Danio rerio: one gene and its partners. The protein of the gene in region 3 binds, or shares a complex with, the protein of the main gene of each other region. Links are inferred from orthologs where the notes say so. Each region holds a gene or a part of one and is shown on either strand. Other genes may lie near its edges.

What was found.
Region 1: smu1b (region 3) and zmat2 share a complex: the UniProt entries of both Homo sapiens proteins name them as parts of the spliceosome B complex. The link is inferred for Danio rerio from reciprocal best matches to the Homo sapiens genes SMU1 and ZMAT2.
Region 2: smu1b (region 3) and ik share a complex: the UniProt entries of both Homo sapiens proteins name them as parts of the spliceosome B complex. The link is inferred for Danio rerio from reciprocal best matches to the Homo sapiens genes SMU1 and IK.

Annotation. Positions count from the first base shown.
Region 1 is NC_133196.1:32,947,826-32,951,921, reverse strand, and holds the start of zmat2 (zinc finger matrin-type protein 2), read right to left. Parts: upstream 2,801-4,096; 5' UTR 2,799-2,800; coding exon 2,781-2,798; intron 1,800-2,780; coding exon 1,709-1,799; intron 1,205-1,708; coding exon 1,081-1,204; intron 995-1,080; coding exon 921-994; intron 1-920. Other genes in the region: slbp2 (stem-loop binding protein 2), read left to right, coding at 3,300-3,349, 3,455-3,583, 3,711-3,779, 3,892-3,975. UniProt on the Homo sapiens protein: Involved in pre-mRNA splicing as a component of the spliceosome.
Region 2 is NC_133196.1:47,757,565-47,761,845, forward strand, and holds the start of ik (protein Red), read left to right. Parts: upstream 1-1,481; 5' UTR 1,482-1,548; coding exon 1,549-1,564; intron 1,565-4,281. Other genes in the region: ndufa2 (NADH dehydrogenase [ubiquinone] 1 alpha subcomplex subunit 2), read right to left, coding at 1-7. UniProt on the Homo sapiens protein: Involved in pre-mRNA splicing as a component of the spliceosome. Auxiliary spliceosomal protein that regulates selection of alternative splice sites in a small set of target pre-mRNA species. Required for normal mitotic cell cycle progression.
Region 3 is NC_133176.1:48,281,857-48,285,356, forward strand, and holds part of smu1b (WD40 repeat-containing protein SMU1), read right to left. Parts: intron 961-3,500; exon of another isoform or gene 466-960; coding exon 339-465; intron 245-338; coding exon 77-244; intron 1-76. UniProt on the Homo sapiens protein: Involved in pre-mRNA splicing as a component of the spliceosome. Regulates alternative splicing of the HSPG2 pre-mRNA. Required for normal accumulation of IK.

The DNA of each region.
Region 1 (4,096 bases), on a different chromosome or scaffold from region 3:
ATTTACATGAGCAACATAAAGAATAATAATAAACAGAGCTGCTACAAACAAGTACATATAGATTCATTTGATTAAATTAAAGTGTTCATAATTTATCTTATCAGATATTACCGTTTATTTTGTGTATGACATTTATTTATATAGCATAACTACTTTCATTGACTGATGTGCTCTCCAACAAAGTTTTCAGGAACATCTGGATGATGGTAGGTGCCTATCTTTTAACTTTTATCTGTTTTCTTATAATATATAGGCAAGTCTGAAAATAAAAGCAGATTTTTTCCCCACACTGATGCCTCTTGTACATCATGGGAGAAGCCTGTGTCACTTTCGGTTAAAAGCAACCACTTGCTGGTTGAATAAAATTATCTTTAAGTCAGAATATGCCAGGGGTTTGAATAATTTCGGACTTGACAAAATATAAGTATATCTTTTTGTGACATATATGTCTGTCAGGTTTTGAATATCAAAGTGGATATTTAAAGTGTGGTTATTTTCTCCCAATAGAAAGAATCTATATTAAAAGGTATGAAATGAGTCATCAGTATTTCCAGTCCTATTTCCTGCACAAGCCTATGTAGATTTGTTACAAAGTTTCATAAAGCCAACCTGAGTACTGTTTTCTCCACCGCAAAAACAAAACTACCGTGAAGCAATGATACAGAATCAACATTTGAAATCAACTCTGAGAAATGAGTTAATAATGTAAAGTTTGAGAAAATGAAAGTGCTTTTTGACTTTGGATGGATCTGAACCTATTGTAAGAGACTTCCGCAACAAAAATATCCTTTAAAATAGAATACAATTTACGATATTGCACAGAAGGCTTTCTATAGGGAGTGTGTCTACATGCAAACCACATTTTATCTACAAGATGTTGTGCAAATTATAAGAAAGAACAAAGACCTTATAATACTTACGTTTTTTACCATTGATATGATCCAAGAAATTGATGGAATCCTTTACTACACAATCACACACATTGCAGTAATACCTTAGAATGAAAAAAAAATAGTATATTAATATTTTATTATTAATATTTATACTAAAACATAAATACAAGTTTCAGGTTACACCCACCCTCCCATCTCAGCCTGTGGTGTGGTCTTCGTGATGACGATTGTTTTCCCCAGTTTTGACTCCAGATCCACTTTATAATCTCTGTGGCGGAGGAGCTCCCGCTTGATGGGGGGCACAGGCTTGCCTGGAGAACAAAAAAGAAGAATGACATAGGAAATATTGGCCAGAATTATTTACGTTTGTAAAATATTTAGGCATGAGAGAATTATTTCAGTTTGTTGTCAGCATATGGGTTTATTTGACCATACTTCATTTAATTTACTGAATAAAGATACAACTTACATATACAAAAAAATTCCACTGAACGTTTATCAGAATTTATCATTTGTTATTATGTGTTTGAGTGAGACATAATTTTGGTTTTATTCTGTGAACTACTGATGATATTTTTTTTACAAATGTTAAATAAAATAGACATTTTCTGGAAAAAAAGGAAAAGCTCTGATGTACAATATTTATCTAATTTAATTTTTGGAAGAAATATTATTAGACTTACAGAATAAAACAAATATTTTACATTTTATATCCAATGAATTCAGAGAAATTGAGAATTTACAAGTGATCCTTTAGTTTTTTTGTCTCTGATAACTGTATATACTGAAGGGTTTTTAGGGTTGTTTTAGCTTACCATCTTTTTTCTCTCTCTCCTCTGTGATTCGTTTCTGGGCCAGCTGTTCATATTCATCCTTGTCCCATTTCCGTCGAAAATCATTCTTGGACTAGAAACGAGAATATGATTGTAAATGATGAAGGTACAATTTAAGACATTTTAAGGACCTTTTAAAGACCTCGCAATGAAAATGTAATGAATCATTTTAAGGGAACACAACATACAAACACTGAGTTGCAGAAACAATGAGTTGTATATACTTGGCTAAACTTTTAGGTTTGAATATACCAATCTGTATTATTCACGGTACTTTTTGTCACACTGTAAAAAGCACATTCTTCCTTGGTGTTCTATCCTTTCCATTACTCATGTCTAAAGATTATGAAATCATAATAGATTTTTAATAGATATGAGACTAAAATGAGCTCAGAAATAAACACTCAAACAGCAAAGTCATTTTTCTTCTTTAATAACAAACAATATATTAAACTTTTTAAATTATTTATCGAGTAAATGAAACCTCATTTAAGGACGTTTATGATTTTTATAAAGGAAAACATAAAAATATTGAGGAAAATATAAACTTTTGCGGAGTATGCAACATTTAATGCCTTAGAAAGTATAAATATCTGCTGATTTAAAACCTTTTTTAAGGGATTATTGTCTAATTTAAACTTTAAAGGCCCACATAAATCTTAATTTTAAACATTTTAATAGCATAACCATGACAGTTGAATAACGTTAAGCAAATCTACTGGAACTGCACAAAAAACGTCTGTACAAAAGATCGAACATAAATAAGCCATAATATGATTATACTAATAGATTAACTATGATTTTAAAAAGATAATACAAGGCAATATAGGTAACGAAACGCTTTACAACTGAAATATATCTGTTTTTCTTCTTGTTCACAACAAAACAAAACCATCTGGCGTCACAACATCGGCCAGTTTTTTCTTCATTCACCTTTTACGATACCAACATTTGCTAACACATGACGCTACAAAATAAATACTTTCCTAAATTACGTTTAAAGTAAGCGGATAGACTAAAATAACATATAAACAAGTCTTAACAGAATTCTTACCCCACTGCCTGACGCCATTTTGCTATGAGGATGCCGTAAAGCGTGTGCGGCTGCCGTAAACAAGCGCCCCTGCCGAACTGCTGTTACTATTTTGCCGACTGTAAAAGTGTCATCATGCTTGGTAATTGTTTTTTTTTACTTTATTTATATGTTTGGGCTTCAAATAAGTTATGCTTACATTTAGTCAAAAACCTGTTTAATGACTACATTTGTGACAAGCCTACTGTATTATTCCTCTCGTTACTTGGACAATTTTCTTCAATGTGTCTAAATAGAGACATACTATTTCACTACAAGAATTTTACATCTACATGTTTAAATCAGTGAAATAAAAACCGTTATTAAATAAAACGTTAATTAAAATAATATCGATTTGATAAATCATTATTATTATTATTTTTTTTAATAATTAGCGGCCTTACCTGTCTCATTTGTAGAGCCCCGCCCCCGTTACACCTGTCGCTGATAAAAAGCTTTGTCAAGCGCAATGTGTTGTGTGGCTGTACGTTAGCCAAAATCATGACAACACGCATAGAAAGCCTTCTTCAAAGCCCCTTTGAGTCGCGGTTGTATGTTTCAAAGCTTGTTTTGTGCCTTTAAAGTGTCCTCATGTGTTGTTGTCCTCATGTAGTATCGTAAAACACTTTGTATTTTGTTATTTTTTTGTGATTTAGAGGTCTGCCTCTTCACTTGTGGCCAACAGACGTTGCTCAAGACTTCAGTAGTAAAACCCTCTCTCTCCCATGTAGCCCAGAGCCTTGGCTGCTTCCTGGCTGCAGTTCAGTGTATGATAGTCTTGTCAGGTAAATGTGTTTCTGTTGATTTAAGGAACCTTTTTATTTATTTATTTTTATTATAATTATTATTTTGGGGGGGGGTGGAACTTGAAAATGTTGTGTTGAGAAACCCTGCACATTGTTTTTCCCTCAGCTGCTCTAAAACCCCACTGTCTGCTTCACAAAATGGAGAAAAGCCTTCTGCTGTTCAGAAGCCTCGCAGGTATGCTTTTTTTTCTTTTTTATAATTTGTTACTGGTTGTCTTGTGAATAGTTTTTTCTTAATTCCAAATGATCTGTTAGTGCCTTTAATTATTTTATTATTCACTCTTCAGGTCCTCCATCCTTGAGCGATGCATACTTAGGATGTCTACAGCTAGTGTAGCTGTTGGGACGGAAGATCTTGATGGGGTCAAGAGGTCTAACTAATCCTTTTTTTTTTTTTTTTTTTTTTTTTTTTTTTAGTTTTGAGTGTGTGTGTGTGGTTTTTATTATTTTTAAATGAAAGAAAAATGGATGTTTGTGTATTTTATTATATAT
Region 2 (4,281 bases), on a different chromosome or scaffold from region 3:
CCGCCATGACTGTCACCTTCACCGGAGGAAGTGCTCTTCTTCTGCTGCTGTTTGCAGCAAATGCCGCTGCATTTGATATACCGCCACCTACTGGAAAGTGTGGTAAAGTATAGAAGGGATACAGCTCACGCGGTTTTTGTGACGCTGTACAACAATTACTATTTTTAATATTCATACTGTAAAGGTTGGGTTCTGGGTTGGGGTAGGCGTTAGTAAAATGGATTATTGAGTAATTTAATAAATAATATAAATAATACTTGGTATAATTTTTATATACTGTGTGGGTTAGGGTATATGGAGGACGAAACCTGCAAAACAAAAAAATAAACAATTACGCAAATAAATAAATAAATAAATAAATAAATAAATAAATAAACACAAATTCCTGCATCAGTAAAACAATTAGATAAATAAAAGAATAAATAAATAAAGAAATAAATACCTGCATAAATAAAACAACAATTAAATAAATAAATGAATAAATAAATACACAAGTTACTGCATAAATAAAACAATACATAAATAAATACACAAATTAATAAACAAATCTATATATAAATACACAAGTTCCTGCATAAATAAAACAATAAATAGATAAATAAATACACAAATAAATAAATGAATAAATACACAAGTTCCTGCAAAAATAAAACAATAAATAAATAGATAAATAAATACGTAAATAAATAAATAAATACACAAGTTCCTGCATAAATGAAACAATAAATAAATATATACGCTGTAAATAAATAAATGTATATATATATATGAACAAAACCTGCAAATATATATATATAAAGTCTACTTTAAGTTTTCTTATTCCTCCAGCATTAATTATTAATCTGTCCACACTATATTTATATATTTATTTATGCAGGGATTTGTGTGTGTGTGTGTGTGTGTGTGTATATATATATATATATATATATATATATATATATATATATATATATATATATATATATATATATATATAATTCTTTTATTTATTTATTGTTTTATTCATGTAGAATTTTGTGGATTTATTATTTAATTTATTTGCATATTTATTAATTTATTTATTTATTTATTGTATTTTGAAGGTTTTGTCCTCCATAGAGATGGGGGTAGACGTTAATAAAATGCATTAATGGATAATTTAATAAATAATATGAATAATACCCTGTATAATCACTGTTTTTACATTATTGTGAGGGTTGGAGTAGGGATAGAGGTTAATACAATACAATCAATGGGTAATTTAATAAATAATATGAATAATATTCGGTATAATTAGGGTTTTTACATCACTGTGAGGGTTGGGTCCAGGATTGAAGTCGAGGTAAAAGTTAATAAAATACAATTTAGTTGAACATTTTATAAATAATGTAAATAATTCTCTTTAACCTCTGGCCGCAGCTGTATCCCTTCTAGCAACAACCGTATTCATCCAGCTCAACAAGAGGCGCTGCTGCTGCGAAAGCAGACAAAAAAGCGGAAGTGACATCAAGAGACGCACTATCAACATTGGAGTGCGTTGTGTTTTGGAGCTAGTAGTTTTATTTCATCATGCCTGAACGCGAAAGTAAGTATGATATGCAATTTATTTCTTATTTATGCGATGAGGGAGCGACAAAACAGACAGTGAATTAACGTTAGTATAATAAGCGAACATTTGCGCTGTTATGTTTTGCTAACACTCGCCTGTGTCTCCTGTGTAGATCGTTAAGGAAATGCGATGTTCATACAAAGATGATATTAGTGCACATGTAGTGAAATATGCATTATAACAATCCAAAGCAGACACTTCTCTAGTGTTTTACATTGCTGCAGAGTCCAGAAATGAAGTGACTGCTTCATAATTGACTCCAGATTTATGATTGGGGTAAAGTTGGCTTTATATTTGCACTTTCTCCTTAATAATATAATTTCAGAAGAGTAAAAGTAGTAAATTCATATTATCAGCCATTGACTATCATAGTACAACACTGTTCACTGTCAATTAATTAGTGCCAATGTTGTTTTTAAGTCATTCTTGCATGTGATTTCAGAATGAATATTGGAAAGTACCATGGTATACAATCTAGGGAGTAGGGCTGCACATTATATCGTTTCAACATTGATATCTCAATGTGCGCATCCGCAATAGTCACATCGCATAGATATGCAATGTCCAGTCTAGGCATGGGACGATAACTGCTTTCAAAGTATACCTTAGTTTGAGAAAGTCAATGTTTTAAAACCGTCAACATTTTCTGCTATACCGTTCCTAAGGTATGAGTAAGATTTTTTTATTTACATTTTTTATTTTTAGGGTCAGCAGTATCTCCAACAGAAAAGGTTTCCAAAGATGCTGTTTAAATCGTAAAGAACTCTGTGTTTTTAAAACTAATTAAGACTGCAGGAGTCAATTATTAAAGTTCGTCGAGACAAACTTTAGGCTGGGGTTGAGAAAATCTGTTGGAAATAGTTTATTTAGTTTAAACAGTTTTAAAAAGTATGAAAAGATGATAGATAGAAAGACAGTAATAGATAGATAGATAGATAGATAGATAGATAGATAGATAGATAGATAGATAGATAGATAGATAAAAGCAGTTTGAAAAAGGACAGATAATTTTGAGGTCACAAAGTTAGATCTAATGTAAATCAATGACAGTCTTTTGCAATGGAAGTCTATGGGACAGTTGTTGCTAGGGTGCAGTATGTGGTAGTTAGGGGTGTGGCTAGAAAGTTAAAAGCTCATCAGTTATTGGTAGTTTGGTAGTCTGAGTTAAATGAGCTCAGCCATTAGTCTGTAAGACAATCTGATGCAGAGTTATGAGCTCACAAAGTTTGATCCCATGTTAAGTCAATGAGAGTCTTTTGAATGGAAGTCTATGGGACAGTTTCTAGGATCCAAAAGTGGTTGCTAGGGCGTGGCCAGAAAGTTAAAAGCTCATCAGTTATTGGCAGTTAGGTAGTCTGAGTTAAATGAGCCCAGTTAGAAGTCTGTGTGACAGTCTGACGCAGAGTTATGAGGTCACAAAGTTTGGTCCAATGTTAAGTCTATGGGATTTTTCCGACGGTCCCGGGACGTTTTTCAGAAAACCGAAAGTCGGATCAGTCGGAAAAGATATAGCATATTACCGAGTCAGAATAGTTTGGAGGTCTGGTGTGAGTTTGGTGGTCATAGCTCGAAAGCTCTAGGAGGAGATAGATTTTGAATTTTAGTCTCAGAAGAAGAAGAAGAATAAAAATATTAAGTTTAAATAGGTTTTCAGTAGTCTGGCTTGTTTCCCAAGCCAGCCTAATAATTATTTAGCCTGACATGTTTACTGTTCTGAAATACTTAAAATGTTTCCCAAATTAAAATATATTGTGTACAAAGGGGGGAAAAGGTTTTGTTCTTTACCCAGTCATTTAAAAAGATTATATTTTAGAGCAGTAATCTCAGTAATCTCAAACAGTGATATTTATATGCAAGGTTATCATACCGTCAGAATCTTATGCTGGCCCATGCCTAGTCCAGTCTGTATTATAGATGACCAGGATTTAATCAAATGCACTTTATATGATTCATGCAAAAAACATTTCATTCATTAATCTCTTAATATACCTTTTTTCCTTCTGACGGTCAAAACAAAACAATATTTTTACTTGGTCTAAGAATTTAGTTGATATTTGGACTAGAAATGAGACGAAAAAAGTAAAAATATATATATTTTTTGCATTGTGATTATTGAATTTCTGTACCGGAATACACTGAGGTAAAGTTGGTTTTATATTCACACAATCAGACTTTCTCCTTAATAATAGAATTTCTAAAAAGTATTCTTTGCAAATTTTGAATAGTGAATACTAGGGATGTAACGGTATCAGAATTTCACGGTATGGTAATACCTCGGTATGAATGTCACGGTACGGTATTTATTGAATCATTTACAGGAAAAAACAAAACTAATGAAAATACTCCAAAAAAGTGCCAAAAGTGTCAATGGCATACAAATTAGTCATCTATCTGTAAGCTTTGAAACAGGAACTTCAATTTTAATAACAAAAAATTATTAAACCATGTAAAAAATAAAGTTTCAATTTAGTATTGTTGAAAACTCATCACATTCAACATTTAATCACTCACTCACTTAGATAGAGATGGGTTTTAAGGAAAATTATCATATAAATATAATCTGGTAAAAGCTGGTATCTCTGGGTATTTACAATGTCCCCTGCAACAGAAAAAAACCCTCTCATTTGGGACTGAGGTTTCTGGGACAGAGAGATATGACTTGGCCCAGGTTGACAGCAGTGGGTAACGTTGTG
Region 3 (3,500 bases):
GATAACTGTACAAAAATAATGAAAAGGCCCGAAAAAGACTCCTTTAAGCCAGTTTTGGTCAATTAGTGTTTCTCACCTGGCCATGAATGTTCGTAACAACCACTGTGTTGGTCCTATTGCTCACTACAAAGTGCTCAGGGGTCTTTGGAACCAGCACAACATTGTTAACTGTGATGTCTGTACCCTCAGGGATGTCAGGGGTTTTTATTGTGTGGGTGCAATCCATTGTCTTCACGGTCCAGACCTGACGAAAAACAAAAATGAGTAAGAAAATCCTCAAAAGTACATGTGAAAGGCAAAGACTAGTAAAGGCAGGACACTACAGTGTGAATACATACTTTTACCGTGCCGTCCGCCGATGCGCTAATGACATGCTGGCCGTCGTGCGAGTAGATGACATCGTTTACATGAGCTGTGTGGCCTCTAAACTCCTTCAAGCACTTCCCTGACTTCAAACCATGAATCCTGATCATTGAAATAAAGGAGTTAGAAATGTATTTGTAAGCACAACACACAACTTATTTGCTTAATAAATGTTAAGCCCAAGAAAAGGAGCGACAATCAAAAATCATACGAAACAAAGAAGCAATTCATAAAAAGGAAGCATGTTATGATGCCATGAATTGATTATTTTAAGCAAAGAGCCTAAAATCCAAAAGGAAAAACCTTAAAATAACATTAAAGACCTTTTTTTAAATTTTGTGTACAAACTGCAGCCTTACTTTCTCATCTCACAATCCACAAATTAGATTGATTATTATTCCTCTGTTGTTGAGAGACAAAAGAACACACTCGCAAGTTATGATGTGATCAATTAATGATTAATTCCTTGACAACATAAACCCTGAGCAAAGCTGATGCTTAAAACCATGTCAAAAAACATACCTGAACAAAATACAACCAGAGCACGAGCAAAACACAAATCAGTCGATTGTTATCGTCACGGGAAATGACTGACACCTGACAACAAAGCAAAAAAGAAAAACTTTGAACAAAACAACAACCAAACCAAAATTAAAATATAAAAAAACAAACAAACTAACAAAAAAAAAAACAAAATAACATGACACCTACATCAAAGAGATGATTGATTTCTTTGGTGAATAAATGTTGAGCCAAGACACCTAAAACAAAGTGAAATAAAAGACAAAAAAACCCTCATACCAAGCTAAAATAAAATCCAAAAACAAAGCAAAATTCATTTGTTTATTTAATTTCTTTTTGGTTGAGTCCCTTTATTAATCAGGGGTCACCACACCAGAATGAACCGCCAACTATTCCTGCATATGTTTTGCGCAGCAGATGCCCTTCCAGCCGCAACCCAGTACTGGGAAACACCCACACACTCTCGCATTCACACTCATACACTACAGGCCAATTTTGTTTATTTAATTCACCTATAGCGCATGTCTTTGGACTCGGGGGGAAACCGGAGCATCCAAAGGAAATCCACGCGAACACAGGGAGAACATGCAAACTCCACACAGGAATGTCAACTGAACCAGCCAGGGTTCGAACCAGCAACTGTCTTGCTGTGAAGCGACGGTGCTTCCCACTGAGCCATTGTGCCACCACAAAGCGTAATGAAAGCGAAAAAAACATTGAAGTGAAAATACAAGCAAACCTCAAAACAAAGCAAAATAAAAGTGAAAAACAAAACATACCTAGCTAAACTACAACAAAGCAAATCAATAAACAAAGCCAAATAACAATGAAGAAAAAAATACAACAGAGCAAACACACAAGTTATAAATGAAGCAATTTGTCGCCGTATGACCACTTTATTCAGTTGTATCAGTATCATATTTAGATTTAATAATGGATTTCTTCAAAGAGTGAAGCCAAAGCAAAACTGCAACCCCAAAAACAAAAATGAAGCATAACAATCAGGGGTGCCACTAGGGGAGGGGTCAAGTTAGGAGCCGTTTAGGGGCCCCCAGAGACACTATTAGGGGATGCCAACCTCCCAACCAGATGCCAACCGCCCAGCTCTTTACTTTAATCCATGAACAAATTACCCTGCCACCCACTTTAGTCCACGACAACCCCCAACCCCCACTCTTCCATGACACTTTCCCAGCACCCACAACACCCTCAAACTCTTGACACTCTCGAAATACTGTCATAGGGCCCGTACCATCCAGCGGCACCTCTAATTTCCATCAAACAGACTTTTAAAATATTTGACATCAGTCATAATAACTTTGCCTGCAACTAACATGACTCGATGGTAATCTGTAGCGTTCACTGCTACATAATAAAGCGAGTTTCCGCCATTGTTTTCATCTGTTCTTGGAGATCCATTTATAATGTTTTCTAAAAATGCATCAACAAAACATTGAAAAAAAATAACAATTCTCTCTCTCAAGCACATGGAATTCCACCCACATGCACCATGAGAGTCGAGCGCTGACGCCCAGCCGCAGAACTACTGCAGTCAGGACTGAGAGAGAGAGAGAGAGAAATATACAAGATTCACTGTACAGCCAAATAACCCTGAATATTCCTCAGTTCCAGTCACTACATGGTGATAATTAAATCAGGAATTCGTCTAGGTGAAGGACCCACTGCTTATCTAGTAGCCCATTGTATATATTATGTTTTATATAAATATATATGTATGTATGTTATTGTTTTATATGTATACTGTATATATTCCTTTCTATTTTATTCTGAATTATTATTGTTATTAATTAATATTCAATATTGATTACTACTCCTATTATCTATATTGACTTTGCTATGTACACTTTGAATATGTACTCATGTCATGCCAATCAAATGAAGTGAATCGAATTGAGAGAGAGACTTCGCTTTCAGCATGTGATGATTCTTACAGCATCACGTCTCCACAGTCTAATTTATGCCAAAAAATTCCTCAAATCTACCTATTACTATCTTACGAACATTTACAAACACACAATAGCTATCAAAAATAATCAATAAAACATAAAACAGACCAACTTTTACACGTCATCTCTAATGTTAGGCTGGCATTCACGTGTCTCCCTCACACACACACAAGAGCATAAATCCAATCTATTGCAAAGTGGGCGTGGTTAGCATTCTTCAATAAGGAGCCAATAGCGTAACAGCTTTACATCTTCACGCCCCCTATTCTAAAGAGCTGGAATGACAAAACGTCTGCCTGTGTGTTGGCAGATGTGCGGGCTACAGAAACACATTATCTGTGCGTGCTCCTTCTCCGCAGCACGTGGCCAATCACGCTTCTCACCACCCACATGCACCATGAGCGCCTAGAAATGACAGCCAGCCTTAGAAAGTGCTGCAGTCTGGTACCCGAGATGCTGAATCGGAGCATGTGCCGGAATATTCCTAATGATGTTTAGCACCCAGACCACGACTTGAGATTTTCCCTCCTCCTCCTCCTCCGCCCCTGCCTTTTTTTCTGTCTACAAAGCATCCGTGGCAAAACATTTTGAGGAAGGTAACCTACAGTTTCCTGCTGGCACTTGTTATCGCATAGCAACTGATCATCT